Linked DNA regions of Oreochromis niloticus. The protein of the gene in region 1 binds, or shares a complex with, the protein of each later gene. Links are inferred from orthologs where the notes say so. Each region holds a gene or a part of one and is shown in the gene's direction. Other genes may lie near its edges. The genes, in order: rptor, zfyve28, rapamycin-insensitive companion of mTOR and mapkap1.

Evidence for each region.
Region 2: the proteins of rptor (region 1) and zfyve28 are in contact, whole or in part, in a cryo-EM structure (PDB 9F43), measured with the Homo sapiens proteins. The link is inferred for Oreochromis niloticus from reciprocal best matches to the Homo sapiens genes RPTOR and ZFYVE28. Residues at the interface, in NP_065812.1 of Homo sapiens: Arg54, Arg305, Arg306, Thr317, Asp321, Phe337, Arg338, Leu341, Ala344, Arg348, Leu437, Gln438, Leu440, Leu441, Ser442, Gln443, Arg446, Pro474, Tyr475, Lys478, Leu479, Gln481, Ser482, Ser483, Ala484; in NP_066023.2 of Homo sapiens: Arg399, Val400, Phe401, Phe402, Met403, Asp404, Asp405, Val406, Glu407.
Region 3: rptor (region 1) and rapamycin-insensitive companion of mTOR share a complex: the UniProt entries of both Homo sapiens proteins name them as parts of the mechanistic target of rapamycin complex. The link is inferred for Oreochromis niloticus from reciprocal best matches to the Homo sapiens genes RPTOR and RICTOR.
Region 4: rptor (region 1) and mapkap1 share a complex: the UniProt entries of both Homo sapiens proteins name them as parts of the mechanistic target of rapamycin complex. The link is inferred for Oreochromis niloticus from reciprocal best matches to the Homo sapiens genes RPTOR and MAPKAP1.

The regions. Positions count from the first base shown.
Region 1 is NC_031971.2:37,768,915-37,776,858, forward strand, and holds the start of rptor (regulatory-associated protein of mTOR), read left to right. Parts: upstream 1-4,928; 5' UTR 4,929-5,684; intron 5,685-7,457; 5' UTR 7,458-7,467; coding exon 7,468-7,635; intron 7,636-7,944. UniProt on the Homo sapiens protein: Component of the mechanistic target of rapamycin complex 1 (mTORC1), an evolutionarily conserved central nutrient sensor that stimulates anabolic reactions and macromolecule biosynthesis to promote cellular biomass generation and growth.
Region 2 is NC_031983.2:11,616,033-11,623,900, forward strand, and holds the start of zfyve28 (lateral signaling target protein 2 homolog), read left to right. Parts: upstream 1-4,868; 5' UTR 4,869-5,221; coding exon 5,222-5,257; intron 5,258-7,868. Other genes in the region: cfap99 (cilia- and flagella-associated protein 99), read right to left, coding at 1-103, 190-331, 427-631, 772-860, 941-1,027, 1,123-1,191, 1,352-1,432, 1,557-1,734 and 4 more. UniProt on the Homo sapiens protein: Negative regulator of epidermal growth factor receptor (EGFR) signaling. Acts by promoting EGFR degradation in endosomes when not monoubiquitinated.
Region 3 is NC_031977.2:11,885,037-11,892,135, forward strand, and holds the start of rapamycin-insensitive companion of mTOR, read left to right. Parts: upstream 1-4,095; 5' UTR 4,096-4,158; coding exon 4,159-4,207; intron 4,208-4,332; coding exon 4,333-4,380; intron 4,381-5,801; coding exon 5,802-5,899; intron 5,900-7,099. Other genes in the region: lg12h5orf34 (uncharacterized protein C5orf34 homolog), read left to right, coding at 152-272, 354-445, 534-609, 705-802, 888-934, 1,041-1,219. UniProt on the Homo sapiens protein: Component of the mechanistic target of rapamycin complex 2 (mTORC2), which transduces signals from growth factors to pathways involved in proliferation, cytoskeletal organization, lipogenesis and anabolic output.
Region 4 is NC_031972.2:8,478,089-8,485,815, forward strand, and holds the start of mapkap1 (target of rapamycin complex 2 subunit MAPKAP1), read left to right. Parts: upstream 1-4,714; 5' UTR 4,715-4,905; intron 4,906-6,730; 5' UTR 6,731-6,926; coding exon 6,927-7,209; intron 7,210-7,727. UniProt on the Homo sapiens protein: Component of the mechanistic target of rapamycin complex 2 (mTORC2), which transduces signals from growth factors to pathways involved in proliferation, cytoskeletal organization, lipogenesis and anabolic output.

The DNA.
Region 1 (7,944 bases):
TGGGGGAAGCCATATTAATACCCCAACGATGCTACACCCTGTATATATGGACCTCCCAAGAATCATAAAGAAAGAGCCCCTTTCTGACCCATCGTTAGCAGTAAAAACTCATCTGCTGACTCCAGGTGAAACCATGCAGTCGTTTGATGTTGTTTCACTTTTTACGTATATACCCACAATCAAGGCAGTTGATCCTGTCAGGAAACAACTACAGAAAGACAGCTCCTCAAACAAGCTTCACCCCTGTTTAGGTTTGCACCCTGTTGGACCTCTGCCTTACCACCCCATATTTCAGATACAATGTGGGTGTCTCCTGGTAAAAACATGCATGTGCCATGGGCTACTGATTGTCACCAACACAGCCAACCTTTAAGTGAAGGAAGTGGAAAGTAAAGCTCTGGGCTCTTTGATGGGGACAAGACTTGGGTTCAGATATGTCAGCTTCGCCTGGGTCAAAATCAGAACCCAAGAGGTCCAGTCCTTCACTTGATGTGTTTTCCACTGAGTGGATAAAAACATCAAGTTCACCACAGAGGATACAAAGGAAAAGGTTACCATTTCTGGAATGTGTTGTGTTCATTTATAGAGCGTGGAAGCCTCAACAATGAATTTTACCTGAAATCCACACACAGAGACTAATACCAGCTCTTTGACTCCCGGCACCCAGTGGAACACAAACAATTAAAGAAATGTCAGATAACAACCAGGGAGAAAAAGACTAACAGACAAAACAGCATTGTAGATTTGTTAGAGAAACTCAGAAGAATTTTCTCCAAGCATGACATTTCAGTGCACTTCAAACCCAGCAACACCCTCAGACAAAAACTGTTGCATCCCAAGGACAAAGCAGCCAAACAAAAGCTTAACAAGCTCGTATACGGTGCAGTGCAGTGAGGAGAGCTCTGATCTCCAAACAGGAGACACCAAACATCCGCTCCACAAAAATATGGCACAACATAGATGAGCAGGACAAGACTCAGCTGTACATCTGCACTAGGACAAAGGTCACGCTTTTGATGATGCCAAAGTTCACATTTTGGGCCGAGAAGGAAGTCTGTTGGAGAGAGGAGTAAAAGAGGCCATCTATGCTTGCTGTGAACGACTATCGTTGAGCAGATATGTGGGCTTACGACACCAGCTCGCATCACAACTCACATGATGAATAGAGGTGTAACGACCCTTAGAATCACCTCCAAAGTAGATAGCCCCTCACTAAGGGTTTATTACCTGGGACTTTCCACCAGTTGTTATAGAACAGAAGCTGCGTCTTTGATGAAAACCTAAAAAACTCCAGCTGCCTTTTTCCCAAGTTCTCGAAATCACCTGGATAACCAAGAACGTACAAACAGAACTAATCTCTAAGTTAAACTAATATTTCAAAGTCACACTGCAGGGCAGCTTATGGCAGCTTATTGATACAATTAATTAAATATTAAGGAAAATGATTGAAAAACATGACTTTACAGCACTGATCAACAATTTCTTACAAATAACCAAAAATTTACTTTTTATCTTCATCATATTTTGACTATGACATCAATAATTCAGCAACTTGTGTAAAAACTGGAACTTTGAATTATTCTCCTGAGCCGAGTTGTTATTTGTCTGAATTTTCACAGCTGACTTAATTTTTTCAATTATCATTATGAGACCAAATTAAGGAAAATTAACAGAACGAACAAAGGTAACAGATTTTAACAAGTGCTAATTTACATTACATGACATGTGGCATTATTTATGCTTAAATTGCCTTCAATTTAGAAGACTGTGTGATCAGAGGTTTGACACAAACGCCCAGAAAGTGTCAGTCATCATAAAATGCTGCAATAAATGGGCAGCTTGCAGTATTCAATGAGAGACAACACTGCACTATTGAATTAATGCAATTATGAAAGTAAGTATGTGGTGTGTGGATTGTACTATGTAGAAGAATGCTAACACAAGCACTGAATTGCTCTGCCTCCTATTCTACTTTTAATTATCCTAGGAACCAAAAGTAAGCCTGCAGTCTGAGAGCGAAGTGCTCTAATGGGGTGCTACAGTACTATGAGGTCTTTAAAGATGTGGCCAGATTATTCAAGACCTTATATGTGAGGAGAAGGATTTTAAAGTGGATTCTGGATTTAACAGGGGGCCGATGAAGAGAAGCCAGTATGGTAGAAATATGCTCCGTCCCTGTTAGGACTCTCACTGCAGCATTTTGGATCAACTGGACTTTAAAGGCTTTTGGGAAAACCTAATAATTATGAACTGCAATAGTCGAGCTTAGAAATAATACATACATGAACTAGTTTTTCAGCATCACTCTGAGACAGAATGTTTCTAATTTTAGAAACTAATTTCCTAATTTCCACCAGTTTGCTATACTGGTTTAAAAAGCACAGCTAAAGCCAGTCTAAATGGCTGGGTTTGGGCACATTTATGACTTACACATAACACAACACTCCTTATGAACTACTGAGGGGCGATGTGCACATTTTCAGGTTAAATAAATCTCTCATTTACAAACATCTTCTTGATTTCGGTCCAGATTTTTGGTCTGGTTTATTCTTTCTGCTTTAATTATTCATGAAATGTGTCTCAAACTTCGCCAGATTCCCTTTGTGGCACACTGAGTTGATTGGGGATAATATAGTGAGGCATACACATGTGCAGATAAAAGTCCTGCAGGCAATCCACGCTGCTTATCGGGGTAATATCAGTGCAATGAAGTCCAAAGAACTCTCTACAGACCTGTGTGGTTAAACTATGGTGAGGCACAGATCAGGCCAAGGGTATAAAATCATTTCTAAAGGTTTGAGTGTTCTGGGGAGAATATGGCCTAAATATTTATGAAATGGAAGACATCTGAAACCATCTGGACCTTTCCGAGAGTAGGCTGCTGGGACAAGCTGAGTAAACAACCAAGTAGAAAGTTGACCAAGAAATCAGCCTGCCAAAAGGATGAGCATCCCAACAGCTCACTGTCAGTCAGTTTTACAGCAGTCAGACAGAAGCAAGTTTTAGCCTCTCAGAAATTGTCAGACTGCATTCAGAGAGTAGTTCATACTTTCCATCCAGTTTGGTAACACTTGAAACGGAGAATGAGATAAGCTATGGAAATCTATTTTTGTTTTCTGAACCTCACTCTATTATTGCATTTCTGTTTTATTTACAGTATGTTAATGAAATCTATGCACTTCACACAGAAAGGCTCCAGCTTTTCAGCTGGCCTGCAGTTTAAAAGCAGGAACCTTCTTGGTGTGGGATGACAGTGGGATAACCATTGCACCACTGTGTGTGGATTCTCTCAGACACACATGTAAGGTTAACAGGTGATTCTAAATTCCCCTCAGGTGTGAGTGTGAGTTATTGCCTTTTTTCTGTTCCTCTCCACGTTGTATCCCACGTCTTAGCTTATGACAGTGGGGATGGGCTTTGGCCTCCCGTGACTCAGAATTGGATGAGTGGTTAAGAAAATGGATGATATGGTTACTGGAACACTGTATCAGATTTCATCCAATGATTCTAACTTTTTGGATGCTTGAGAAGTTCTTTTGAGGGGGTATTCAGTTCAGTTTAACCCAGATGCCATTTCCCATAATGGGATAACTATGAGTGGCATCAGTGGCTCGTGCTATTTCCTCACAGTAAGATGGCTCTGAGATTGAGCCCTCCTGAGGATTTTATTTGTACAGAGTTTCCATGTTCTTAAACTGTGACTAAGTGGGTTTTCTCCAGGTGCTCTGGTTTCCCCTCACAGTCCAAAAACATGCCTGTTAGGTTAGTCGATTATTCGAAATTGTCCAGGAGACTTGTGTGCATGTGACTGGTAATTTAAAGCACACTGGGTGATTATTAAGCAAGAGAACTGCTGTATAAATGTCAGTCCATTTCAATAGTATTGACGTCCTACTCATACAACAAGTCAACTGATTGTATAAATACTGTATGGCTTATGGTGTAACAACTAAATTAATGTTAGCTGGTACTGATTAAAAAATAATGCCATTTAGCAAATGTCCCCCCAAGTGACAGCAAAATTACCTGAAATAGTTTCACAATTAAAGCAAATATTTTGGTGTTTAGGATGAAAGGAAGGAAGGATCCATGCAAGTGCTTTTTCCCACTATCGCTGAATAAATATGGCCACAAACCTGTGTAAGTGTATTCTTTATTTTTTTTGTTAAAGCTTTTCCCTTTAATAAGGAAAAATAAGGACATTTGGTACAAAAATAAGGACCAGATTCACAAGCGCTTGTTAAGTACAGCCTTTAAGCTGTTTATGAACACAAATATCTAATCAACCAATTGCATGGCAGCAGTTCAATACATTTAAGCCTACTGGAAATAATTGGTGGAGCTGTGGTGAGACGTATTTAACCACGCATGGGGTACAAGTTATTTCTGTAAGCTAATAACCAAGCTGATAACATCACAACCTATTTGGGATTTTATGAAGTCACATTTTAATAGAAATTTGATACATAAAACAGGTAGTTGGGAAAAATATGTTGGGGGGGGGAAAAGTCCTTGTTTCCAGACCTCAGTTCTCATTTTAAAAATAACAAAGCTCCTTTTCTTAAATAACGAGATTTGTTTTCTCAAATGAAGTTGTAAAGCACTTTGTCAAGCTGAAGTTTTTTTTCTTTCTTTGAACTTTACTGTAAGTTGAAGATGCAGAACATAAAGTTCAATACTTATAAAGAATACTACAATTAAATTCAAGGGAAAAATGTCAGGAGAAGAAAGAAAACCAAAACCATAATAACTTCTTTTTCTTAATTCCAAAGCACCTTTTCCTAAACAGTGGGATTTGTCCCTCCAAAGGAAGCAGCAAAGCAAACCACCTTGTCAAGCTGAAGTAATCTGGTGATAGAGCAACATACGGGAAAAAGTCATAAAAATTATATGTAAGAAATACTAATTTCGATTCAAGAAAAAAAAAAAAACATTGACAAAAAATGGCCATTATCATTTAAATAAAGTATTTACAAAATCGTAAATGCTTTTTGAAGGGAAAAAAAAGGTTTTGCGCTGGTAAATGTACACTTACGCTAAAACTGCAAGTATTACAAAGACTTCAGTTACAACCTTTCATTAGTTACAACCTTCGTGCAAGGACAGCTCAAAGCCACTTTGTCGTGCAGGTTTCAAAGGCTTCAGGCTGACGTGAGTACGTGTGTTTATATTTTGGTGAGTGACGCCAGGAACAACAGCTGTGACGTTTCACGACAGCTTCGCCGCCCCAACAGTGCATTCTGGGTTCAACCCAAGATGGCTGCGCCCTTGCAGAAGTGCTGAAGAAGTGCCTCTTCGGAGAAATTCTCGGAATTATTTGAGATTTCCTCGAAGACTGTCGCTCGGAGCCGACTACCAGGGCCGCTGGTACGTAGAAGGAGTCCACGCGAGCCCAGTCATTGATAAGTGCGGCCGGCGTTACGTGTGGCTGTGGCAGACTGTCCGTGTGAAGATGGGCCTCGCCTGCAGCCCCTTCCCATAGCGAAGAGCCGTGGGGAGAGGAGCCGCAGATTCCCCTGCAAACACGCGCCCGTGCAGCTCGGATTTGACGGCTTTGACTTACTCTACAGGCTCTGGACGCTGCCCTACAATTTGCTGACCAGGATTGTGTGTGCGACCGTGTCTGTCATTGTCCGGAGAAGGAGAGCTTCCACAGCCCGGGCTGATAATCCCACCGCACCAAGGTCTGCATCTGCACGCTTCGCTGACACTCTCCGTGCCTTATCTGCACATCTGCTCGGTCCTCTTATCTCTGTCACGCGTGTGTGGTTTCAGAGCCTCGCTTTAAAAAGGCTTTAAGTGAATATTACCGGCCTCGGTGCAGTCTGACACCTGACAGCAGCAGAGCTGTTACATTAGCCGCGCTAGTTTAGCTTAGCTAGCTGGACTGGACTGAGCCTGCTGCTCGCCAGCATCCGTGCAGACAAGTTTAACACAGCTGGGCCGTTTTAGCACGAATGCAGAGGCACTAAAGATAAAACCCATCGACCTCCTCTGCCGTGGCTCCAGCTGTAGAGCTGAAACACCTCTGCAGCTGTTGCTTTACTACAGAGTCAGGCAGCTAGCCTGTTAAAATAAAGTGGAGGAAGCCAGATGTGAGTGTGTTTGGTTTCAGTTGCTGTTGTGGGTTTCATTCAAACAGGATTCACAGCATCAGATTCACACGGCATAAAAATGACTCATAACCACCATCCCATGACTTAAAGGGCATAAAGTGGAAAAGTCAGCAGCCAGTGTTGATAATCAGATTATTATCTGAGTGTAGAAACAGCCTGCTTAGTATAGCCCGTAACAACAGTACAAGAAGGGATGGACCTGTTGTTACTGTATGGGACAGTAGCAGTCTGATGATGACCGAGCCTTTGGGGGGCTTTTGGTGTACCCATTGTTTACAACTGGAGATAGATTTTTCAATCCAAGTTACAGAATGGACAGTGCAGAGGTCAGCAAACAGCAACAACTGTTTGAATGTGCCGGCCGGCCCTGGTCCACACAGCGTGTGGAGATTGTATGTTGTTCTTGTGCCTACATGGGTTTCTTTTGGGTACTCTGGCTTCTTCCCACAATGCTTGTGAGGTGTGTTTGTGATTATAAATTGGCTGTGTTAGACCTGCTTTCTAATGCCAGCTTGGATAAGCCCTGGCCCTCACCAATCCTGTATAGGAAGGATTTAAGAGGACGGATCTTTATCAGATGATGGGTGATCCATATTGACAAAGTGGACTTTGGCCCAAAAGAAATGGCTTGTATTTGTGGTGGTAGCATGGCCAAGAGGGACAAACATGTCCAAGAACGTACAAACAGGGACGGCTGCCTCTGAGGTCAGGTCTTCATCCTGTAGGACTTCAACAGCTGCACCGAGAGACCTGTGGATCTAAGTCATGATTGTTAATTTTTTTTATACTAGTGCTAAGATAATATAATCAAATGTTTTATTTTTATAACCAAAAAAGGAAGCAAAAGTTCTCTTACATGTTGTTTAAACACTGAAGATGTTTGAATGAATAAATTTATCTAAATCTGGATCCAAGTCTCGAGCTCTCTGAACAGGCCTACTGCAGTTATCTGACAGCGCGCTTTTATTGCTGTTTAAATTTTCCTATGAATATCTCAGTTGGTAACCAAAAATGTATTTAGGGATGCTTACATCTGTTGTGTATATATTCTGTTTTTACTGTGTTTATATATTATTTATCTTCCATTACTTAATAAAATAGCTGCACAGTATGTTTTGATTAGCAAATTTAGCACATTTGGCTGCATCTGGACTGGAAATTTCTCCAAATTTAAGATTTAAGTTTTTTAATTATTTATTTTTTAGACTAGTGTCAGTATTGACTATATGCAGTAATTAAATGGCTAAAGTGAGCCTACAAATCTTTTTGTGGATACCCAGTAGCTACAGCTAAAGACACTTCAAAATCCAACCAGTGACATTAACATGAGCGCTCTCCCAGCAGGGCCCTGATGAAAATGGACTCAGACTTGCTTCATTCACCGGCCGTGGGCCTCGCTGAGGAAGAGGAGGCCGATATGAATGACTGGAAACTTCCCTTGGCCTTCATGAAGAAGAGGCACTCAGAGAAGATTGAGGGCTCCAAGGCCCTGGCGCAGAGCTGGCGGATGAAGGACAGGGTAATTTCTCTTCTCATCCATGTCCAGGAGTAATTCAAGAGCCTGAGGATGTTTCCTGTGTGAGCTCTGCTTTGAGGTCACAGAGGCTGTTTTTCCTTTTATCTCAGCTCATAGAGACTTGTATAGCTGCATTTTCATGCTCATATATCTGATGGGACTGTGTTAGTTTTAAGCTGGAACCAATAAAACAGGAAATCTAAGATTGTTGATTTAATTTAATGAGTTTTGATGCTTTAGATACAGCTTTAGAAATGTTCAACACTGTTATTTTAAAACGATAAATATTATAGTATGGTTTTTCCCCTCTAA
Region 2 (7,868 bases), on another chromosome or scaffold:
CAGTGAATTTCTCGGATGACTTCAAATTTGCGGCTCATCTCTGCCTCTGCTTCCTCCAATGCTTGACGAAGCAGCTCCTGGTTCTGTTCGGAGACTTCTTTCACTGCGAAATTTGTCATGACATTGATGTGAACAGCAAAAAGAAACACGTGAAATGCCCCGTGTGACAAGCTGCTTGAGGAGGCGTACCTATGCTTTGCTTCAGCTTCTGTAACTTCTCTTTAGCTGCCTTTGAATTCTTGTGGCCATCTGCCACTTGTTGCACCAGATCCCTTATTTCCTTTTCCTCTTGCAACCTTTTCTCAGCATATCTTTGCATCAGCTGAGCTGTCTAGAAAAAGCAAACAAGCCATAAAGAAGACGACAACAAGTTTATTCCTCTGTGAATTCCTTTTATTTATTAGTTGCCACGTGGTCTTTACCTACCTCTTCTTTCTTCAGCTGCGCAGCCTTCTGATTGCGCTCCATTATACGTTTGCGGGCCAGAGCTGCCTCCTGTTCACTGATGCATGCCTCCAGGTGTCGGCGCTCAATCTTGGGCAACTGCTCCTGAAGGTCCTTCTCACGCATCTCCTTTTGCCACTGCAGGAAAGATGAAGGATCGCGCTCCCCTTGCACCAGCCGCTCAATTCTGTATTACAAACAGATGCACAAGGGATGCAAATTTTTATGTGTTGATTTGCACTTCACTCTCGTGGAGCACTATGCAGGCACCTATCGTGTCCAACACCTTGGAAAAGGTTAAAGTAGCAGGTAAAAGCTGCGCTGTACCTCTGGACCTCCTCCTCCACCCAACGCTTATACAGTGCCTCCTTCCTTAGAATAGCTGCATTGTTGAGTTTGATTGGATAGCTGACCGCCTGTAAAAAATACACACATGACAGCAGATATTACACCAACATTAGGCTATCTAGAAACAGGCAGAGTACTTAGGTCTTACCTTATTACTAGAAGAAGCTCCACGGGAATGAAAGGAATTAGGCTTGAGCCTTGAATCCAAGTCTTCCTCAATCTTGGACATCACTCTCTGTGGAACAAGTATGGTGTTGAAGCCAACAGAATACAAGCCCACCCTCACACACACACACACACACACACACACACACACACACACATACACACCTTTGTGTGCTCAGACTTCTGTGGATTTCCACATCTGAACTGTTTGATATTTGCTTCATACAGAAGCTCCTTTGGTGGAAAACAGATAAGCGAACATTTTAATGGCAGTATATGTAACTGAATTTAAAAATATAAAAAGTTTGGATAATAGCTACTATTATTGAACTTAAATGTGCCAGCTGCTGTTTAATTGTTAAACTTATCTTCTTTTGTATTAGATTCATTGTACCTGAGCCTTTTGATGGTTCTTCTGTTTATTCTCCTCTATTATCTGCATCTCCTTTGGAGCCTTGTAGGTGCTGCTTGGTACCTGCAAGACAAACACCTTAAGAGTGATGCACCAGCCTCTACACAGTTTACAGCTTACACTCTCTTTAAGGATTGAGGACATGAAAACTTCTCAAAGTAAAGGACTTTATGTAACTGATACTGACTGGTTTGCATTTCTTCTGCTGTGGGATGAGCTCGGGCATGGGTAGAGGCCGCGGTTTAGGTTTGGTGAGGGCGAACTCCTGGGGCTCAGTGGTTTTGGTTGCAGCTTTCTTGAGCAGATTCCCTTGAGAGATCTTGACTGCAAGCTGGTCCATGAGAATATCTATCTCAGGGCGCCACCTAAAGGACACACAAGCAAACATTTTGGTTGTCTGAATTTGAAATGCTCTGCTCACAAAACGACCTCCACTGGAATACTTGTGCACATTTCTGACCAGACTGTGAGAAACAGACTCAATGAGCAATGGCATGAGCAGCCCTTGGTGCCCTACTCTCTTGCATGTTCACACTGAGCCTATGTGACAGGCATGAAAGAGTCTACAGATGCTGTGCCGCACTTCATGTGACTTCAGCATCAAATCAATCACTGAATACAGCCCTCACAGGATTAAAAAGTTTGTTTTCTACTGACTGCTGTCATGTCTTTTTGTTGTCAGTGAATTACACAATGTGTAGATTTAAGTTTCCCCTTCATTCTTTGAGTTATTATAGTGTTATTACCTAAGAAGTATTTTCGTTCATCATGCTTTTCTCACCTGAGTAGAGGCCCAATCCAGTGTTTCTCCACAAAGGCAGCATCATAGATGTTGTTCCACTCATCCTGTATCCACGTGGTGAGGTTTGAGAAGAAGAAACCTAAAAACTAATTTTAAAAAGTGCAACATAAGAAAGCTGCTGATTAATTTCCCTCTTCTGTACTCAGAATTTGTGTTTCTTACCATGTGCATTTTCTTGATGTCCAGAGATTTAACAATGCTGCTAAAACACTGAAGCCCGAGGTCATCAAGAAGAAATGTGGCCAGGTAACAGATAACTGGGGAGCAAGACGACCATTAAAACATGTCAGTTCTTTTATTCAGGCTGAAATCAGGAGTAGCAATGAAGTTACTCACCAACAAACTGGCTGCGTTCACCTCTGGACACTGATTTTACATGCTGGCCATAGAAGGCATTGATGACTACATCCAGCAACTTCTTTTGTTCAACACATCCGGAAACAACATCTAGAATGAACTTCCTCTGCAGCATGTCCATGTCCTGTGACAAAACAAGAAATACAGGCTAATCAGAAGCAGGCCTATGCATCCACTCACATTGATCTGAGTCTGACATACCTGCAGATCCTTCATAGCATCTTCTGTGAAGTCATCCAAACACTGTCTGCTAGCTCTAAAGCTGTCGAGGAGCTGAACGGCTTCCTTCACAAGTGATGCATAGTTTGATGCCATCTTAAATCCACTAGAAAAGCCCACAAATAAACTGTTTATATAAGCAAAGCTCACGCATTGAGAGATGAGAGAACAAACAGTTCTCCCTGGGATAGACAAGCCAACCGGGCTGCTAATGAAAGACATCAATTCACAAAAAATATTTGCTGTCTTCGACTCATAGACAGTCTCCAGCCATCGCTGTGTTGCGTCGTTGCTTAGCAACAAAACACAGGCGTAAACAGAAATACGTCCCAGCTCGAAATGTTAAACGAGGAACGCTTTAGCAAAAAAATTAATCATTTAGATTCAAAAGAGGCGTTTTATTATTGCTCAGTTTAACATATTAAATACTTCACAGTTTTAATCCGTACAGATTAACAGAGTGCCATCCTCATCCTTTGTTGGCGTCCATAACAATAATAATGACGTCGCGTGTTGTGACGTCTTGCCGGGGCTGTGCTGATCTTCTGCTGCCTTCAAGTGCTTTTGGAAATTCTACAATAAACAGACGGCGATCAAACTGACACGTTAAAACATCTGGTCAAGATGGAAACCCGTTCTAAAAACCGAATGAAAGTTGTTGGGTTGTGCTTTAAAAAATAATGGTTTTACAAAAAATGTTGTTTCCTAGCTTACCAGGGGTTTTACATTGTTGATATATGAGGGACAAAAGCTAATTACTGGGTAAATCACATGCAAACTGGGGTTTTGTTCTCAGAATCGAGCATCTGATTTCCTGGTTTAACCTGATCATCATAATCATATTTCTTAACTGGAGTGAAAACAAAGTCATTTGTTGAATTTAAATTAGGAAATACCAAGCTAAGTTTATGATAAATCTATATGTGATGTTTTAGAAAACAGAAAGTTGAAATAACTCCAAAATAGCTTCTGGACAAACACACACTGCTGATGGCAATCATGTAATACAGGCGAAAGCTAAGGAATAACCTGGAAGTGTATTTTGAGTGAAAATTGTTTTCCCCACTGATATTTTCTCTCTAATCTCTTTTACAAATCTGGAAAATGTGCTTAATTTACTGCTCCTCATTTGGATGGTCTTTACTGCAAAGATCTGTACACATCCTAAATCATACATTTATTTGATGAAATTTCCCTGTATTTGCCTGACATTTGATTTTAAAGTTAAAATGAAACAACAGTGGGCTACTGTATTGTTTTTCTCACACAATCGAGTTATAAAAACTTAAAACCTCCACTAATCATACTTAAATCTATGCATACACTATTAATACTTTCTAGATAAGGGGGGTCAAAGTCTTTTTGGGTTACTGGCCAAACCCAATTTCATCTCAAGTGGGCTGGGCCAGCGAAGCTATTGCATAACATTTTAACAGGATAAAAATGTTAAATAAAATGTTAAATAAATCAGTTTTTTGTGATTTATTGAATGTACTGTTACAATTTACAGATTGCAGATGATGATGATAGGTTTTCTTTTAAGCAAAAAAAAAAAATGTTTTACATCTTTTTGATGTCATTTGACATCAAATGACTTTTAACTTTTTAAATTTTCCACCAGGAGCAGCAGAGGATTTTCTTGGAAAATGTGAATAAGTAACACAACTGGAATATATGGCGGGTCAGTTTGACACACTTCCTCTAGATTCTTAAATTATTGTAATGTAGTAAATTCAAATTTGTTACTTAGGTAACAGAAAACAACTGTCATTAGTAAACTTTTCTTATCTGTTGCTTATGTTTTATTACATGAGGATAAAGAAAGTACACCATCTTTAAATTTGAAGGGCAGCTGCAGCTGCAGTGTGTGAAGAACTAAGAGACTCTTAAAACGTCCATAGAAATTATAATCATGGTTAGAAGTTTAGATTCACTCATCATAAGCTTAAAATGGTAATGTTGTGGCTTGTAATGATTTCTTTGAACTGGTTTCTTTTTCCAGGGTGGAATGATTGTACAGTATACATCGTTAATGACCCTTTTGGAGAGAGAAAGCTATTTTTTGGAGGAGCACTTGAACGCACCACTTCCTGGGAAAGTGGGAGGTGAATGTTGTCAACGTGACTGTCATCGAGTAACGTTAGAGGGGCAGAGAACAGCGGAGCCTTCAGTGCTCCAGTTGTCTGTATCGTCGGGGACTTGGAAAGTGACTGGGCAGGTGGAGGGACAGGTTGCTAACCTCGGGCTTCAGGGAAAATGGAAATAAGTGGTTATTTCCCAATACCTCCTTTGTGCGCCTTCAGAGCCTCGGTGTAACGTTCAGGACAACTTGCCGTACATTGTCTTTTTTCCTCCTTTTTGGACCCAAGCAGCGCTAGCTAGCTTAGCCGCCAGCCAGCCGCCGATAGTGTCAGACACACAGGTACAGGAGAAGAGAGGAGGGGTTGGTGACAAAGGAAGGTGGCGAGGTAACGATGAACCGCTTTCGAAAGTGGCTGTATAAGCCCAAGGTAAGTTGTGTCAGCCCCTGCAGTCAGTCATTTTTTATGCATAGCTTTGGAGCTCGCTAGCCTGATCATTTCATAGACTGTCAGCACATCTGCTAACGTTAGCCCGTGTTCCTGATGTTACACTGTATTAATCAGCAGCTATCCCCTTTGTTGTTGTTGATGCTTTTGTTTTGAAGCTGCAGTCAGGACTAACAATGCTACAGTCTTCCAATTTGGGCTGATTAATACTGATTTACTTACATCTGTCTTCAGCTGACGTTAGTGTTCATGTGATTCTGTCTTGTTATTTTAAAGGTTTGAAATACCTTAATAAATCACTGATTAATAACAATGACAAGACCACATCAGAGCTGAAAAAATAATCGTTTTGCTTGTAATAGTAGTGTCATTATCATGTCGTTACCACATAAGAGGAAATATTTTAAAAGTAGAATATATTTTATAACAAAAGCTGATGTTTTTAATTTCCTTAAGAACTATTTGTTTTCATTATTGATTCTGCTGGATATTTTTTAATAAACGGGTTTATCATTTGGTGCATACACATGCTAGAAAATAGCACCTTTTTAAAAAATAAAAAAATTGCAAAAAACATGATTAAAATTAAAATATGTGTTTATTCCAAACAAAGAACAAATAAAACATGGCACAGTTTACCTGAATGTGTTATTCTGGTTGACGTTTTCCAAGATCCAAACCTTTTGTAAAGTAGAAGGTGACATATTAACCTGATTTTGTTGTGGTATCAGTTCAAAGTCAAAATATATTTTATTTATATCAGGCAGGACAAAGACACTTTGTTACAATTGATAGGGTGGACTTTAGGAAAACATTGTTTTGTGGCATCTAAGCCTTAAAGACCACCAAAATACTTACCAGCTATTTTTCTCATGCAGTTTATTTAAAATATTGATTGTCTCAGCTCTGTATACCATTTGTGAATACAGTCTGAAAAAAGGCAAAACAATCAAATCCTGCTCGGGAAACACATTTGTCAGCAAAATCGTCACTTTTTGGGTGCGCTAGTAATGGATGTGCTGTGATTCCTTAAATCAAGCTCAAAGTGTGGAAACATGCCTGACACAGCAGAGGAAGTATTAAAGGCTTGGTTGCCTTGTTAAATGAACAGTTCAGTATATGCCAACTGCAGCACCTTTTAGGATGAGTGAACGTGAACATTTCTCTGGGTTGAAAATTCTTGTTAACTTTAAACGTAACTTTTCAATGTCCAGAAAATTGCTCCACCCTTTCATTCGTAACATAGCACTGTGTTTGTGTCAGTATATTGACTTAAGGCTTGCACTTAAAAGGATAAACCTGTGTCATAGCTGCTGTACATCGTAAGTCTTTAAAGATTATTAAGCTTCTTAAACAAGCTGTTGACTGGTGGAGGTAACTGTTATTTCTTGGCATGCTCCTGCTTTCCTGAAAGTTCCTCGATGATAACGTTCAGAAAAACCCTTGTTATTGTGATACCTGTGATAAGAGGTAAGTCAACTGATAGGTCACTGTATGTTTGAACTCCACACTCAAGAAATCATCGGATGAAACAGTGGTGATTACAAGATATGCTGCATAGCTAAGCAGTTGTGATCACTCACAAGGCAAGCTAACTGAGCTTGAGCCAAACTAGCTGCCCATAGACCATGGGTGGGCAATTAATTTTCCCAAGAGGCCGTATGAGAAACTGGGACTGTTGTGGACTTGCCCTACATTATGATTCGATTGGCTAGCAACAATGTGAGCAGAGCAACAGCTCAGCATTTCAGTTTAATTCAATTTTTGTGTATTTTTTGTTGTTGTTGTTGATTTTAGTGGTTAGCGATGCTTAATTTTTAAGTCAGTATTGCTAGCAGTGTTGCTCTTTAGATCTGAGCTTGGCTACGGCCTATGGCTCAATAGAGTGGGTGTGGCAATCACTCAAATGTTGAAGTGCCCACTCTGAGTTGCAAGTTTCCCCGCTCCTCCAAGTAGAGGAATTTTAGTATCTTGGGATATTGTTAATGAGCGAGATGAGAGCAGATCGGGAGATTAACAGATGGAGCGGTGCCAGCCTGTTATGGTAAAGAGCGAGCTGAGCTGTCGATTTAAGGGTCAATCTATTTTCCTAGCTAACCTATAACTTAAGATGCATTCTGGGCACCTCCTAAGTGAGTTGCTCCGGTCCCATAAAGAGGGGGTCCAGGGGCAGAGCACAGATATGTTGGAGATTATACATCTCTTGGCTGTTTTAGAAGCACTTCAGTGTCCCCCTAGAAGAACTGAGGAGGTGGCTGGGGACAGGGTTTCCTGGGCATCGCTGAAAATAAATAAAACTTAATCAATTCATGTTTGATGTAAAGGGATTTTTTGGCTTGGAGGAAGGGAGTTTCTAGAGTTCATTCACACATTGGCAATAAAAAAAAAGTGTTTAGTACATGAAAAATCCGTTTTGAATTCGAAACCTTTAAAAGGTTTGGCAACACGTATTTCTAATTGGGAGCATAAGTAGAGTATAAGTTAGCCGTCTTGATAATAGAAAACTGCTGAATCACATCATCATTGGGTAATTATAATAAGAGCTTTTGCAACAGTAATGTCACACAAGGCTTAGATAAAAGGCCTCTGATTA
Region 3 (7,099 bases), on another chromosome or scaffold:
ATCCAGTCTAACACCAAAGCTGAAAGGATCTCTGAAATCTTCAATTTTCATACTCATGATAAAAAAATCATTGTTTTACAGTATAGAGTGTGGGAGATGGTCTATAAATCTACACTAGAATAGTGTGCTTACCTTCATGTCTGCTGTGTAGGATACTGAGTGGACCTGTCTCAGCTGTTGAGGTTTCCCCAGGGGATGGATCAGTCATCCGCTCTAACCGCAACCTTAACTCTTATTTTACGCATCACAAAACTGAACTCCAGTCAGGGCTGGTAAACTTTAACCTCTTATTATAAAATTTAACCAATACATTTTAAAAATAATCTTACAAATTTAGCCAATCTTTACCACAGGTCAAAGAGGTAACCTACCATTTAAACAGCCTTCCACCTGATGTGCTTGGACAGGCCTACTCTGTTTGCTCTATTGTGAGTCGTGCAAGCAGGTAAGCTGCCCCCTCTTCATCACAGTCTGGTGAGTTAAAGGACTTTTAATTTTTTCCAGTCTCCACCCATCGCATAACTGTTTTACAGGATCCTGGCTTGCTACAACCAGGCCATGCAGTCACTGAAGTGTCCAGCCTTACCCAGCTGCTTGCAAGATCTCGAAGTAGTAGTACCTCCTGATACACCTGTGGATACCTACACTTTATCCACCATTTAAGCTTGTGCACTGCCAGTTACTGAATCTCTTTCTGTTTGCAGGATGGATATTTTTGTAAACCAACAGCGTTTGAAGAAAAGGTGCCCATTGCTGTGCCTGCTGAGCAACGCATGAGTGTGACAGAGGAAGCAGGCAGTTTGTAAGTTGTGTTTTTCTGGTCACTCTGTCGATATTTTGTTATAAAATTAAAGGTGTTAACAGCTTGTGTGTACTGTTCATTTTAGATCAGAGCTCGTTGCTGCAGAGCTTGAGAAGATAAAGCGATTTAGCTGTATCCTTCAGCACTGGGATCAAGATACAAAGGGATGCTTTAAACTAATGTCTGTATTGTCTGTATTGAGGCTGTCTCTCTGTGCTCTTTAACATCCTTTGCCCAGTTCTGCTGGAGAACAGCCACGTGCTAAAAAGTGGAAAAGCACATGCAGATGAGGAGGAAAGTCCTGCAGACGTCACTCGTGAGCCATTAAATGACAACTATGTTGCTGAAGCTCTTCAAAGGACATCCAAAGCAATTCAGGATATTGACGCTCTCGTATCTGCAGCCACACTAACTTAAAAGAATCCTTATGTTTAAGCAGGAAGCCATATTTGTGTGTTTGTCTCAATAAAAAATATAATAAAACTGTGTGGAATTATACTTTAATAAAGTATGTATTACTATGTAATGGGGTTGCATAGACTTTTAATATTTTAGTCTATTTAACAACCCCAGAAAAGTTGGGACACAATTTATTCATAATGGAACATAATCAAATGTTTCAATTGAGACATTGTAACATTTTAAGGGGGGAAAAGATTTATTTTAAATTTGATGGCAGCAAAACATCTTATAACTGCTGTGTAGCATCCTTTGTTCTCTTAACCACAGCCCATAACCATCTGGGAAGTGAGGAGACCAATTGATGGACTTTTGGGTGAGGAATGGTGTCCCATTGTTGTTTGATAGAGGATTTGAGCGGCTCAGCAGTCCAGGGTGTTCATTGTTGTATTTTTGATTTCATGTTGCGCCAAATGTTTTCAGCTAGTGGAAGGTTTGGAATGCAGCCAGGCCACTTCAGCACCCAGCCAGAATCCTTGCCGTTTTAACAGATGCAGTATGCAGTTTGTTTGTAGTTCTCATCTTCAAACATTGACATTGGCAAAGAATTGTTTGTATTGAGGTTACAACATGTCTCAGAGAAAACAGCAGAAAAGATATCGTTTATGCTGGCTCTCCTGACTGGGGTGGTCAGCTCAATGTCCCAGATGGCGTTCTATCATCAGGAGGGCATTAGATCACAGCAGGAAGGAAAATCAGGGCTCTAGCAGATCCCATATAATAAACTTCAAAAGGAATCTATTTTTGGGTTTAGTGTAGGGATCAGACTTTCAAAATAAAGCATATTCAGATTGCTCTGATGAGACAACTCTCCAGTGCTTCTCCTGTCAGAGCAGTGCAGAATCATCAGCGTTTCTATAGGTGCTATGACCTGAAGTTGTACTGAAAATCTGTACAACTCAAAAGGTGAACAGGAATGGAGACCGTGCAGTCCTCTGTGAAGCTCCAGTGCTGCGCATCACCTAATCAGACAGAGCTCTGCTCAGTCCCAGGCACTACAGTCTCTCTGTCAGGTAGTCAGTAATCCAAAACATGGTTTTAAGTTCAAGAAACTGAACTTCTTTAAATGACCGAACTGATAGATGCAGTAATAGCAAGCATCTGAATCTTCTTTGCAGTTCATTTAATGTCAGGTGGTGAATAGCTTTCAGTCTATTTTCCAGATCTGTGTTCCCTTGTAACCATAAACTTTGGTTGCATTAAACTAAGAACTCGGTGAACTATGCAGCACATTGTGTTTACACTGTAATCAACAGGCAGAGAGAGGTTTTACAGTCTCTGTTATCATCCAGTGGAGACAGCAGCTGCCATTGCCCCAGTGAGTCAAAACAACTAAATAGTTTATGGCTGAAGATTTTTTTTTTTTTTTTGAGTGAGTGACTATTGACACATTTTAAAGCCCCTGAATTGCCAATCATGTACACTAGCAGAATATCAGAATGATCTACCTAATACATTCAGTAAGCTCATAGAGTATGGGAAAGATTAATATAAAATCTCTCATTACAACCCATGAGGATTTAAAAGAAGAGAAAGAATCACAGAGCCATTGCCTACTGTATAACTTTGTATCTACGATGATTCCAGGGCACTAGCTGATGTGCTCAGCGCGCAAATGTAACTTATAAAGTTGCCTATCATATCTCTTTCTCATGTGACTGTACACTTTCTCTATTTTCAGTGACTTAGTCAGCTGTTTCTATGTCCTTTAGGCTGTTTATTAGTAAAAAATTATTCATATTAATTTTAAAATATGAATACATTAATGTTATTGATGTTAATGTAAATATAATAGGCCTGCTATAAGCTACTTCCATACTGTTAACTTTTTTTTCCTGATTAGCTTGATTGTGAAGGTTGTACAATACTCCTGTCCTTTTCAGACTGGGCTATTAAATTGAGTCGAGATCAGAATCAGTATGTAGAGTCATTGCTATTAGAGAGTAAGAGAAAAAGTCACTTTCTTTCATGCATTCAGGTGTTAGTTGAAATTAATTTGCAAACAGACAAAATACGCCTGTACTCAGAGAGTGTCTATTTATTTCAATTGGTGAAGCCACATTTCGGTCCATTCCCAGAGATTGACAAAATGTTCATTGTTATGTATGGGTGACACCAAGTGTGCAAGATGGTTATTGCAGATTTTAAGACCTGAAAAGCTGAACATTATAGTCATTCATTGTTATTATTATTCTTTTCTCCAACGAATACCTGTTTTGCCTTTAGTAAAACGGCAGAAAAACAAACTAACAAGAAGTTGTGCTGTAATATGACATTTTACTTTTGATATTATTTACTTTTGATATTTACCAAAAAATAATTAATAATAATAACTGCATAATAACAACTTGCACATTAGATAGTCATTAAAATTACATTTTTTAAAAAACAGAATAAACTACTTTAAATGTTTAGTGACAGGCTTTATGCGTGAAAACTGTGAAGTCTTCAGTTATAACTGTGAAATGTCTGTGAAAGTTCGAGTTGGAGCCACTCATAGACATGACTTATTGAAAGTATTTTTCAGTCAAAACCCATGTTAAATGTATGCATAATAATAATAATAATAATAGTAATAATATTAATAATAGAAAAAGGAAGAAGAAGAAGAATATACTTAAACAATAAAAAACGAATGGATAAGGCAAGTGAAAATTTAACTTTACTTGAAATGATAATATTTGTGATAGAAATTTAGCTCTTGAATGAGATCCCCCTTTGCTAACCCTAACACAGTCGCCAGGTCAGATTTATGCTTTATCCCTCATACGATTAGAGGGATATTAAGGAGGATCCAGCTGATCTTAGGTCTGTTGTGGATCTGTTGCGGTCCCTCTCTTGTCTGCTGTCTCGCGATAACCCGCGAAGTTTCCGGTGTTGTGTATGTTCCTGGAAACATGGCGGCCAGCTTCCGCGGCCGTCCTATCCGGAGTCTTCGGATGCGAGGTAAGCACAAAAACCTCGATTCAGCGGCTGCTGTAAAAGCAGGATATTGCAAAATATGATTTTGTCACGCACGCGATGACCTTGGAGTAATGTCTCGGCGTGTCCGCGGTGTGTGTTTTTGACAGGTCGGAATGACAGCGGGGAGGAGAACGTACCGCTGGATCTGAGCAGAGGTAAGCAGAGGCTTCATCACATCACCCTGAAAGCGATTATTGTTCAAAATGGATGAGGGCGATATCTGCAAACGCTAGCCCCGCGTGGTGAAAGTCTAGACAGTGTACGCGCTTGACCCATCACTGCTGTTGTTATTTCGCCATTTTCCCTCACTGTTTGGTCTAAAAACGTCGCTATCGATGTCATAACAACAGGCGGCAACGAGCTAACTTAACTAGCTGAGTTAGCGTTAGCTAGCTGCAGCTAACCAGCCATGAAGACGCTCTGTTATTTTGATCGGCGTGAGTGGGCACGATAGCCTGTTATTTAGCCAAGTAGCCATAAGAGTTGCAGTCATGCATTTGTCATCGCTAACTGGCTGGGGGAATTGAGTCTGAAAGCTGTGCGCCGAGAAGCATTGAGGCAGCACACGGTGGATCTTCCAGAGGAGCACTGATAACACAGCTGCACAACTTGTCAGATTTACTCCTCCAGCATCAACACTGCATAGCAGTTTGTTTACACGGAGCAGCAGTGTCTCAGTCCTGGAGGCCCAGATCCCTGCTAGATTCGTTACAATCGTGTCAACTAGAGACACGCTCACCTAAAAATGTATGACTGACAACATTAAAATCTTCACCACAGGAGAGTCAATACACTTAACCTATCAGCTGCTTCAGTGCGATTTACACTATTTACATGTTCTTCCTGACAGTACCAAAACTGGGGAAAACTAAAGTATGTCAGTTCCCAGAGGTTGAAAATGATGAAATAACAAATGTGCATACTAATTTCATGTAATCACTGTGGCATCAATTAAAATGTGATGTATTCATAACTTACTGTAAGATTGGCTCGTGATGTTTACAAATGCTTGTTACCAAAGTAACCCTTTGGTCTGGCATTTTTCTCATTTCCACTTTTGAGCGATGGATTGAGTGCAGTGTTTGGAGCAGTGAGACTGATGACTAATACCGATAGCTATTACTTTTTGACAAGCTGCAGTGGAATCAGGCTTATCATCTGCTGCGCTTGGTTGTTGAGGAGAAAGTGATCTGAGCAGCTCATTAAGCTGGTGTTTTCCTAGTTTGTGCGATGTTTACATTTGTCTTGCAGGGCAATATGTGGAAGTCATCCCACGCAAAGCGGGCGTTAAGGCGTCGACCACGCTTAGACGATTCTGTTTTAAAATGCGGTTCCCGTTTGTCAAAACATTTAGCGTAGGATAGTTGAAAGGAACTGAAAACAAAAACACTTCCCGCTCAGGTCTTGCTTTTTTAATGTCTAGCCTTTGTTTTGATTGTACACTCTACATTAGTTCCAGCTAAACCAACTTCCTTCCTGCAGGATATCTATTACGGTTCATTGACTGATATTATTATGGCAATATGGCTTAACGCCTCCCTTAGTTACATTGTATTTCCTTTTCATTCTCCTTCAGAACCGTCAGAAAACTTCCGTGAAATCCTTCAAAATGTGGCCAAACCGCACGGAGTCAGTAACATGCGAAAACTGGGCCACCTGAACAACTTCATAAAGGTAACGCTGTCAAGCTCTGATAATTTTGCCTCATTTAAAGACAGTTTTGCCTTGCTGAAATGTTGTGAGACATGTAGCTTTTTGAGAGGGTTCACTTGGTTCAGATCTCTCACAAGATTGATTAGCTGCTCCTCCTCTGTAGTGTCACCACTGACCTCTCCTTGATCTTTTCCTCTTGGGTGTTGATGCCAGCAGGCCTAGTTGTGCCTGTCACTGTGATGCTGACAGTGAATATAACAGGAGCTCGAGGGATAGGAGAGCACTCCAGTCTAATGTGCATGTGGAGCAGTGCTCAGACTTTGAAATCTGAGATTAATAGTGTCTAGTTATTGTTTGTATGGACCTGAGACTTTGATTTGTTAAAAAAAAAGAAGAAGAAAAGATTATTTTAGTCATTTTTTCTCTTCTGGTTTTTAATGTGAATGATAAAAAAACAGAGGATTTAGGAGGATTTTCAGTTTAGCAAGGCTTAAAACACAAATATGCTAACATGGATTGTAACACATGTGAGCCCATACAAGTTTTAAATTGTTTTGACCATGCAGTATAACTGCTCTGATTCACTTAACAGCAGTAAATGTTACTGATACAGAGATGAATAATAGCAATAATATCCCCAAAAGTTTGTTCTGTTCATCTGGACGTAGCGTTTTCAGTTTGAGAAACGTTTCGTCACTCATCTAAGTGTCTTCTTCAGTCTCAGCTGACTGCAGACTGACTGCAATAATAATAAAAAAAGAGTATGAAATTTAAGTTTCTTGCTCATTAAAAAAAATCTGTTTTAGTGTTTTCGCTCATCATTCAGGTCAGCCCTGTTGGTCAGGACTAGTGACCTCTCCAGGGTGTTTTTCTCCTGTCAACCCAAAACATGCTGGAGTAGTCTCCTTCCTGTTATTTTGAACAGGAATAACAGGGGTGGAGAAAATGAGTTAATGATTGCGAGATGAGCGTGAGATAGAAAACTAGCACTTTCTTGTGCCTTGAGCACACTGGCCTTGCTGACTGTCACCTCAGGTGGGAAAAAAAGAGTCAAAACCATGTGCACAACTGTCTAATTTACCACAGTTTCACACTCTCCGTCTGCACCTACGCTGGGGTCAAATTGGTATAAAGTTTGTCATCTGAGTGCAGGTATTTGTCTGCTCTTCACTTTGTTGTGACAGGACTGTCTGTGTCTGTGTGCAAAGACAGTGATGTGCA
Region 4 (7,727 bases), on another chromosome or scaffold:
TTGGCCATAATCTGAAATGCACATAGTTAACCCCATTATATAGTCTACTTTTCAAAAAGCACATTTTTATATTTTGATCCTTGCATTATCCTCACATAATATATTAGACAAATACATTTTGTGAATATGTGAATTATTTATGATCAATATATTTAATTTTCTTGTTCCTACCTCTCCCATTTTATTAGTTTGGAATACACTTAATTTTGAAACTGCTTGCATTATGTTCTATAACAGTTTTTCTAATATTATTCTTGCGGGACATTTCTTGTTTTCAGATAAGTAGAGACTGTACTGGGGCTCATCTTAGATCATTTTAGTAATCAAGTATCTATTATTGCATCAAATAATCGAATAAGAAATACTTTTGTCTTATTAATGAGCAGTAATAAATATTCAAAAGACAAAAAACTGGTCTTTTAAAATGTTTAAATAGTTCACCTCCATATAACACCTGTAATGTAAATGGAGAGTCCTCTTCACACACTAAGGTTAATTATGGAATTCCAAAGGACTCAATGCTAAGATGAGTTCTGTTTACATTATACATGCTTCCCTTCCAAGTATCATTAGAAGGCACTGACCGCTAATTTTCTGCTTTTAAATTCAGATAAAACCGAGGTTATTGTACTCGTCCCTTAAAAATCTCAGAAATATAGTATCTAACCAGATGCCTATTTTAATGATCTCAAAGTATGGTATCACCCTATTAGAGCACTAACTTACAAGAGCCAAATATACCAAATCGAATCAAAAACAGTGACCCCAAAACTGTGCTATGAACAGAACCACAGATTTTGTAAACTGTTCCATCCCCAGTAGGTTATTATTATTAGTAGTATTAGTATTGTTCAGTGTCCAACCAAACAACCCTCAGGACAGTGGCTCAGAGTTTTAAAGGCCCATGTACATTTTTATTGGCTTGTGAGGAAAAACTTCAATTGTCATATTTTTTAAATCTTGATGCAACTTATTTTATATAAGTCATCAAAAAAAAAAAAAAAAGGGGTATAAGCAAACAGCTTAAGTTAAGGACATAAATTTGCTTTTTGGGTCTCGAGCGAGCTCCTCTGCAAAGGACTGGATTTCTCTTCTACGTCCAGACACTCAAAATTCCAGTGGTGAAATGAGATAAAAAGATGTCAATCAAAAGTTCTCCCCATACAGGACAAGTTACGCATTGATTCGTAGGGATTAACATAAATTACTAACAACACCCATAACTAACCCAACAGTTTAACTAAATTATTTATTGTCCGACCATAACTCGCCCTCGCTTGTCAACTGTAACTGTGAAATAATAAATAAGCGACCAAGCTAACAAGCTAGTCAGGTAACATAATGCATCTTCCATACGCCAGCTGCAACCGACGACAGACATCAGCTATGGTTTTACTGGCCAGCCAACGGTCTGTTATCCCTTGGACCGTTTAAGCGCTTATATCACATACCTTAGTCAATCACACCACCAAAGGCAGCTTTACGTATCACATTCTTGCGAAGACATAGGATTTGCAATAAATGATAATGTTAGCAATCTAGCTGGGTTGACCACTTACCGAAACAGGCTAACAGTTGGATGTGAGCGGTTTCCGAAAATTTTCCTTAGTGTTCTGTTTGGTTAGGTCGTTTCACAGCTTTGGAAAAGCTCGCATCGTTAGAAAATTGCCTTATCCATCAAACCAGTGCTAAACACAACCTATTCTGTGCGTATCTGCATAACAGTTTTCCAGCTAGCGGGTTCAGGAAGACATCATTGTTCGAAAAGCGGAAAGAACCCGTTCGGATTCGGAGGAGTCGTCGCCGTTTTCTTCTTCTTCTTCTTAATATTTATTGGTTGGCAAGTAGCGAAATTCTTCTTCTTCTTCTCCTGTTTTTTTGGTTGGAAAATAACTTCTAGGTGCATTACCGCCACCTTTTAGATTGGCGTATAGCACAGAATCTACAGTACCGCCAATATATTTCTTTTAAAATTCCTGTCTCCTTCAAAAATGTAAAAATATCTGCAAGAACTATGTGCCCTGAGTCGCTTTGAAAGAATTCCCTTATCCTTAAATTATTTTTGTTATTATTAAGATTACTAATTAATACTTCTCTCTCAGGAGTGTTTAAGGACACTGTTAGACATTTGCCTTACCACATATTTTAATTACAGCAAGGGTTTTTACAGACAAAAACATGGATGTGCTATGGCCTCCCCGATGTCACCTATTGTAGCCAATCTTTACATGGAGGAAGTGAAAAGGGATTTTTTCTTTTCTTTTCTTTTCTTTTCTTTTTTTTTTAAAGTACACCAAACCTTGTCTAATGGTGTATTTTTACCCAAATCACAGTATTTTCTCCAATAATCATGGTCCTTCTAACCTGTGCTTGTTTCTTTTTGTAGTTTATTAGATTTTGGGAACATTTTTTTTAATGTTTTGAAAGCCTTATTCTGTTATTTAATTGCTAATGTACATTTTTGTGTCCACCATGCAACAAATCCGAAAAGGTTGATTCTTTTCCTCTGGACATAGTGTTTTCAAACCAGAAACTTTGGAATGTTATAGGTGACTGAGTTGATCATACAGAAAACTGGTACACCCTACACCCTGTTTATGCATCTTCGGGAAACCAAACGACTTGGTATAGATTCCCCTGGGTATAGCCTGTGGTATGAGACCCAGTCAATAGCATTTTCTTGTTCTAACTGCTTCAGAGAATCTATCACCCTCTTCCTGCAACCACTTCCTGGGTCTCGTTTCAGGGGCTCATAAATATTTTTGTCACTGAGCAGTGACAACATTTTCTCATGATAGTCTTTCTGGTGCACAGCCATGCACCTACCCTTGTCTGCCAGAAGGATGATAATGTTATTGTCATTATAAGTGATGTGAGTGCCTTCCTCTCCTCCATGTTGATGTTGGATGCTGGGGGCTTAGCATTTCTGAAACAATCTCAAACCTTTGTCCGTAGTCCGACTTACTTACCTGGATTGTATTTTGACAACTGTTTAGGTATTCAGATAACTATTATTATTTTTTAGACACAGGAGAAGCTTCAATTAGTGCACCCAGTTATGGAAAACAAAGTGGGGTAATTGCTGCAGTTTAGAACAGGTTTTTGTTTCCCAGGAATTGCAGGGTCTATGTTGTCTGGGGCATAGAGTCATAGAAGGTCTTCAGGAGTGGGCCCCTCAATCCAAAAGACCTGAGCCTCTGCAGCAGGTACAGCCTGCTCTGTCCTTTCTTGAGGTAGTCCAGTATCCATGCTGTGAGGTGATGGTCCACTTCTGTTCTCCAGCTTGTCCTTAAGGACTGTGGGAAGAATGGTGTTAAAGGTACTGGAGAAATAAAAAAACATGATTCTCACAGTGCTCCCAGCAGTCTCCAGGTGAGAGAGGGAACGATGTAGGAGGTGAGTGACGGCATCATCGACTCCAATGCCAAGTTGGCAGGCAAACTGAAGTCAGTTCAGTGATGAGCTCACCAGGGGCTGAAGCTGAGCTAGGACCAACCGATCGAGGGCCTTCATCAGGTAGGATGTCAGAGCTACCGGCCTGTAGTCTTTGAAGTTCTTGGGACATGGAGTCTTTGGCACTGGTACAACACAAGAGTTTTCCAGAGCTGTTGAACTCTCCCCAGCCTCAGGCTCAGTTCGAAGATGTGCTCCATCACCGCACACATTTGATCTGCGCAGGACCTGAAAACCCTTAAGGTGATGCTATCTGATGCAACACCAAAACCTCCGCCCCAGAAGGCGGACCCTGGGAGCACGCCAACAGACACTCTCATGGAACATGACAAATACACATATTATACAGCTTATACGGCTTTCTCTTAAAATTATGCATGTTGTTAGTAAATTAAGCATTTTATTTACTTTAGCAGGCTTGACAAAATCGATAAATGTACTCACATCTCTTTAATGACTTTTTGGAATAATTTCAACATACCTTCAATCATCCTTACACAGAGGAGGATGCAGCCAGATACTTTTTAAATTATTCCAGCAACAACACTGCTGAGCTGATGTAGCTGGGAAGGGTCTGATTAACACTGGAAAAGCGACAGATGCAAATAATGGCATGTTTATATCGTGGCTCGTTGGAGCATTTCCTTGCGGCTTGTCCATCTCCACTAAATGCTGCCTGCAATACTGTGCAGTTAACACTGTCCTATCGATTTCAGTGTAGAACAAAACGTAATGAACTCTTTCACCACAACCTTTAGGCTCCCCTAGCCTTTGAGCCAGTTGCCCAATTACTTTTGGTGTCTTTAAAAAAAGGGTGGCACATTTTAAGGAGCTGAATCTCCTGAACTCTTCATTCCAGTTTAAATTTTATTATATTAAATATTATGTCCATGTCAATTATATAACTAGAATTGGAATATGTTTCAGTAAACAGGTAAAAAAACAAACAAACTTGTTTTAGAGTCCAAATATATATGGACCTAATTTTAGGTCGAAGAACATAAAATGCCCTCCCTGACTGTCAGGTATATTTTTTATTACAATTATAATTATAATGAAATTATAATTAATTAATTAATTAATTATAATTTATCAAATTAAGTCATAATATTTTCATAAACAGTTATTGTGTGTTAGGAGATATATTTTAATAAAAGCGTAATAAGGATAAAAATGTTGCAAAATATGTCGATGATTGATGCTTTCTGTGAAAACGAAATCATAGTTTGTTTTTTCCTTTTATCATGAAGTAACGGAACCGGAAGTATCGCTGGGCTGGTTGTGGGTTGGTTGTTAGGCAGAGCATACCAGGTTGAGTTGGTTTGTGTTTGTATTATGACTTTAATGTGGAACATTAGTCGTGATGAACAGAGTTTCTGACTCTATTATGATTATGCTTGTAACATATGGAGAATCGTGGATGTTTCTTTCCCTTGGCGGATAAATCTAAAGGTAAGACGTCGTCTTAAACAAGGGAGGTTCAACGCAAATGCTGGTCGCGTTAGCTTAAATGAGCTTGCAAGCTACTAGATAGAACCGCTTCTGGTGAAATATTTTTGCAATCCTGATGCTAAACATAAACCCTTTTGCCACTCTAACCAGGCGGGCCCTGATTTAAAAAAGTATTACTTTGAAGTCAGCCGGCTACGATGGTTAGCATTAAAAAAAGCTACGGCGAATCATTAAATGAGGTGCTTTTGCAGGTATCAAACAGTATCACTTGGCATTACACGCCACAACACATTTCGCCTTAGAGAAGAAGACCCTTAAGCTGTCAGCAAGGACAAACTTGACAATACACTACAGCATTTATTAGCTGCAGTTAGCGTCGTCTAGAAGCTCTTTGCAATAACTGGATCTTCTAATAAAAGATTAGGCCCCGCCGCATACAATGGGAACTATTCAAAACCTAACAATATTTTATTAATAGTTTGACGTTTATTTACTAAAGTTAAAAAAACCTTGGCGGTCTGGTCCTGATCCTTTATTGGACATGTTAACGTGGGTATCTCGTTCAACCCAGTTTGAGTGTGGGGTTGTTTTGGCCTGGCTTACAGCTCTTATTTACATGTTGAAATTATCAACATCTTTATGTTCAGTGTTAATATCACGGACAGTCAAACTTCAGTTTTTGTTTGTCTGTGTATCAAAGTTCAAATCCTTTTGAAGAGATCATTGGCAAAATGACAATCTTGTGTCAGATCTTTGTTTTAACTGTTGAGACTTTTAAAGCCTCCTCAGCCAAGCTGAGGCCTATACTGTGAAGCAGGAGTTGGATAAACTATGTGTGTTCAACATATTTAGGGTATCTTTCCATTGTCTGGATTCACTTATCTTAACATTGACGATCAGGATAACCGATCACACAAAGCTGGTTATCAAGTCACTGTGTTAACGAAGGGTCTCCCCTGTGCATTCACACGAAATGTGCGGCCAGACATCTGACCAATCACAAAATAGGCGATTCAGGAATCATGTGACTCTTCTTCCATACAAAATTGTTCCTGTGGGTGCTACCTATACTTTAGAGATATTATCAAATTGCAATAAAAATCTTTAAATATCCAGTAAAATGCATCACTGTTTTTAAAAATGATGAGAAAATTCTTCACTTAATCTGGTGATTTGGCGCAAACAATAATTATTTTAATTCTACCTAACAGTTTTATCACTGAGTGGGATTTTGCTGCCATTGATGATTTTTAAGACAGCACCTGCACATTAGAGCTCTACATCTTTAAAATAGATCCATTTAAACATTAAAGTTTACCGTCCCACATCAAATAGCTAGCTGTGTCCTCAACTTTTGATCGGGTGTAAAACAGCCTGTTTCAGTTTAAGCGTTGTTTTCAATAAAATGCATGCTCAAAAGAAATGTTTTGTCTCACTCCCATTCCTTCTTGTTGCATGTTGAAGCTCTACTGGAACCTTGTTAAGATCAAACCATGCAAAATATGGAAAAAACATTTTTTTGGCATTTTTCAAGTGGTCTTAAACTTTTGATCTGGACTGTATAAAGAACAAAAACCAAAGAATGTATACAAAATACAATACTAGTCCTTTAAAAGTAAATACTGCCCTGAGAGTGAGCTGCCTTGGCAGAGATTTGCTTCTTGTTTTAGTTTATTGTATTTATTTATTTAAACTGTGAAAGTTGGAAGTTAAAGTGGGCTGTGAATTGAGCTTATAGTTTTTAAATATATCAGTTTTAAAAGATTGAGCTGAAATCCTACTTCTAGACTGCAACATGTAATAACAATTTCTTTGCTCTCCTTAGGGACTACTTTGCCTACCTTGGACCTGAAAAAATAGTAATCAAAAGATGGAAAAGGTGACACTTCTCTTGTCATCAGTCACAGCTGTAACACTCTCAAACAGAGACTGATAAGAAAAGAAAAGGAACCCTTTGGCATACAGGCAAGAGGGTGAGAAAATTTCCAAAGCGAAAAGACACACTTAGCCAAACAGAGGAAATGGCATTCTTGGACAATCCGGCCATTATCCTGGCTCACATCAGACAATCTCATGTGACCAGTGATGATACTGGAATGTGTGAGATGGTGCTAATAGATCAGGATGTTGATCTTGAGAAGTGCCAGCTTTCTCTGGTCCCTGGTAGCAGCTTTGGGTCAACTGGGTCAGGCCTCCTGAATGAGGGGGGCAGTAGTGTGACAGACAGTCATCCCTGTGACCTCTCTCAGTCTATGGACATCACCTCCAGCTGGGACTTTGGCATTCGTCGGCGCTCCAACACAGGTAAACTCATCTTCAGGCTTTAGCTTGTTAGTTGGGCCAGCTTTCTGTCAGACCTCCCTCCTGTCATTATGGTGGGAGACAGCCAGAAAGCCTGTTCTGCTGCTGTTTGAAGGGGTTTTGTGTGGCTAATCAGGGCCAGTGGTTTCACTGAGTTAAATTGTGTGCACCGCATGTGAAAAGCTTGGGATTACACTGTGGTTCATTGTGCATTTAAGTAATTTATATGATGTGACATATTGCATTAAATATGGTTATGGAGATGACAAATGACACAGCAAAATGAATAATCATTGACTATGTGTCACGCAGCTTCTGTGTGCTCCAAAATCAAGTGCCTACTCTATATAAAACCAAAGTTCTGCAAACATTTCCGCCATGATGACAAAAAGTAAGGGAAAACCACTACTTCAGCAAATGTGGAATTCAGTTTTACATTTTCAGTTTTCTTATTGTTGTTGTTGTCGGTATTATTACCATTACTACTATGGCTCCAGTGGATCATGGGCATGAATGTAATA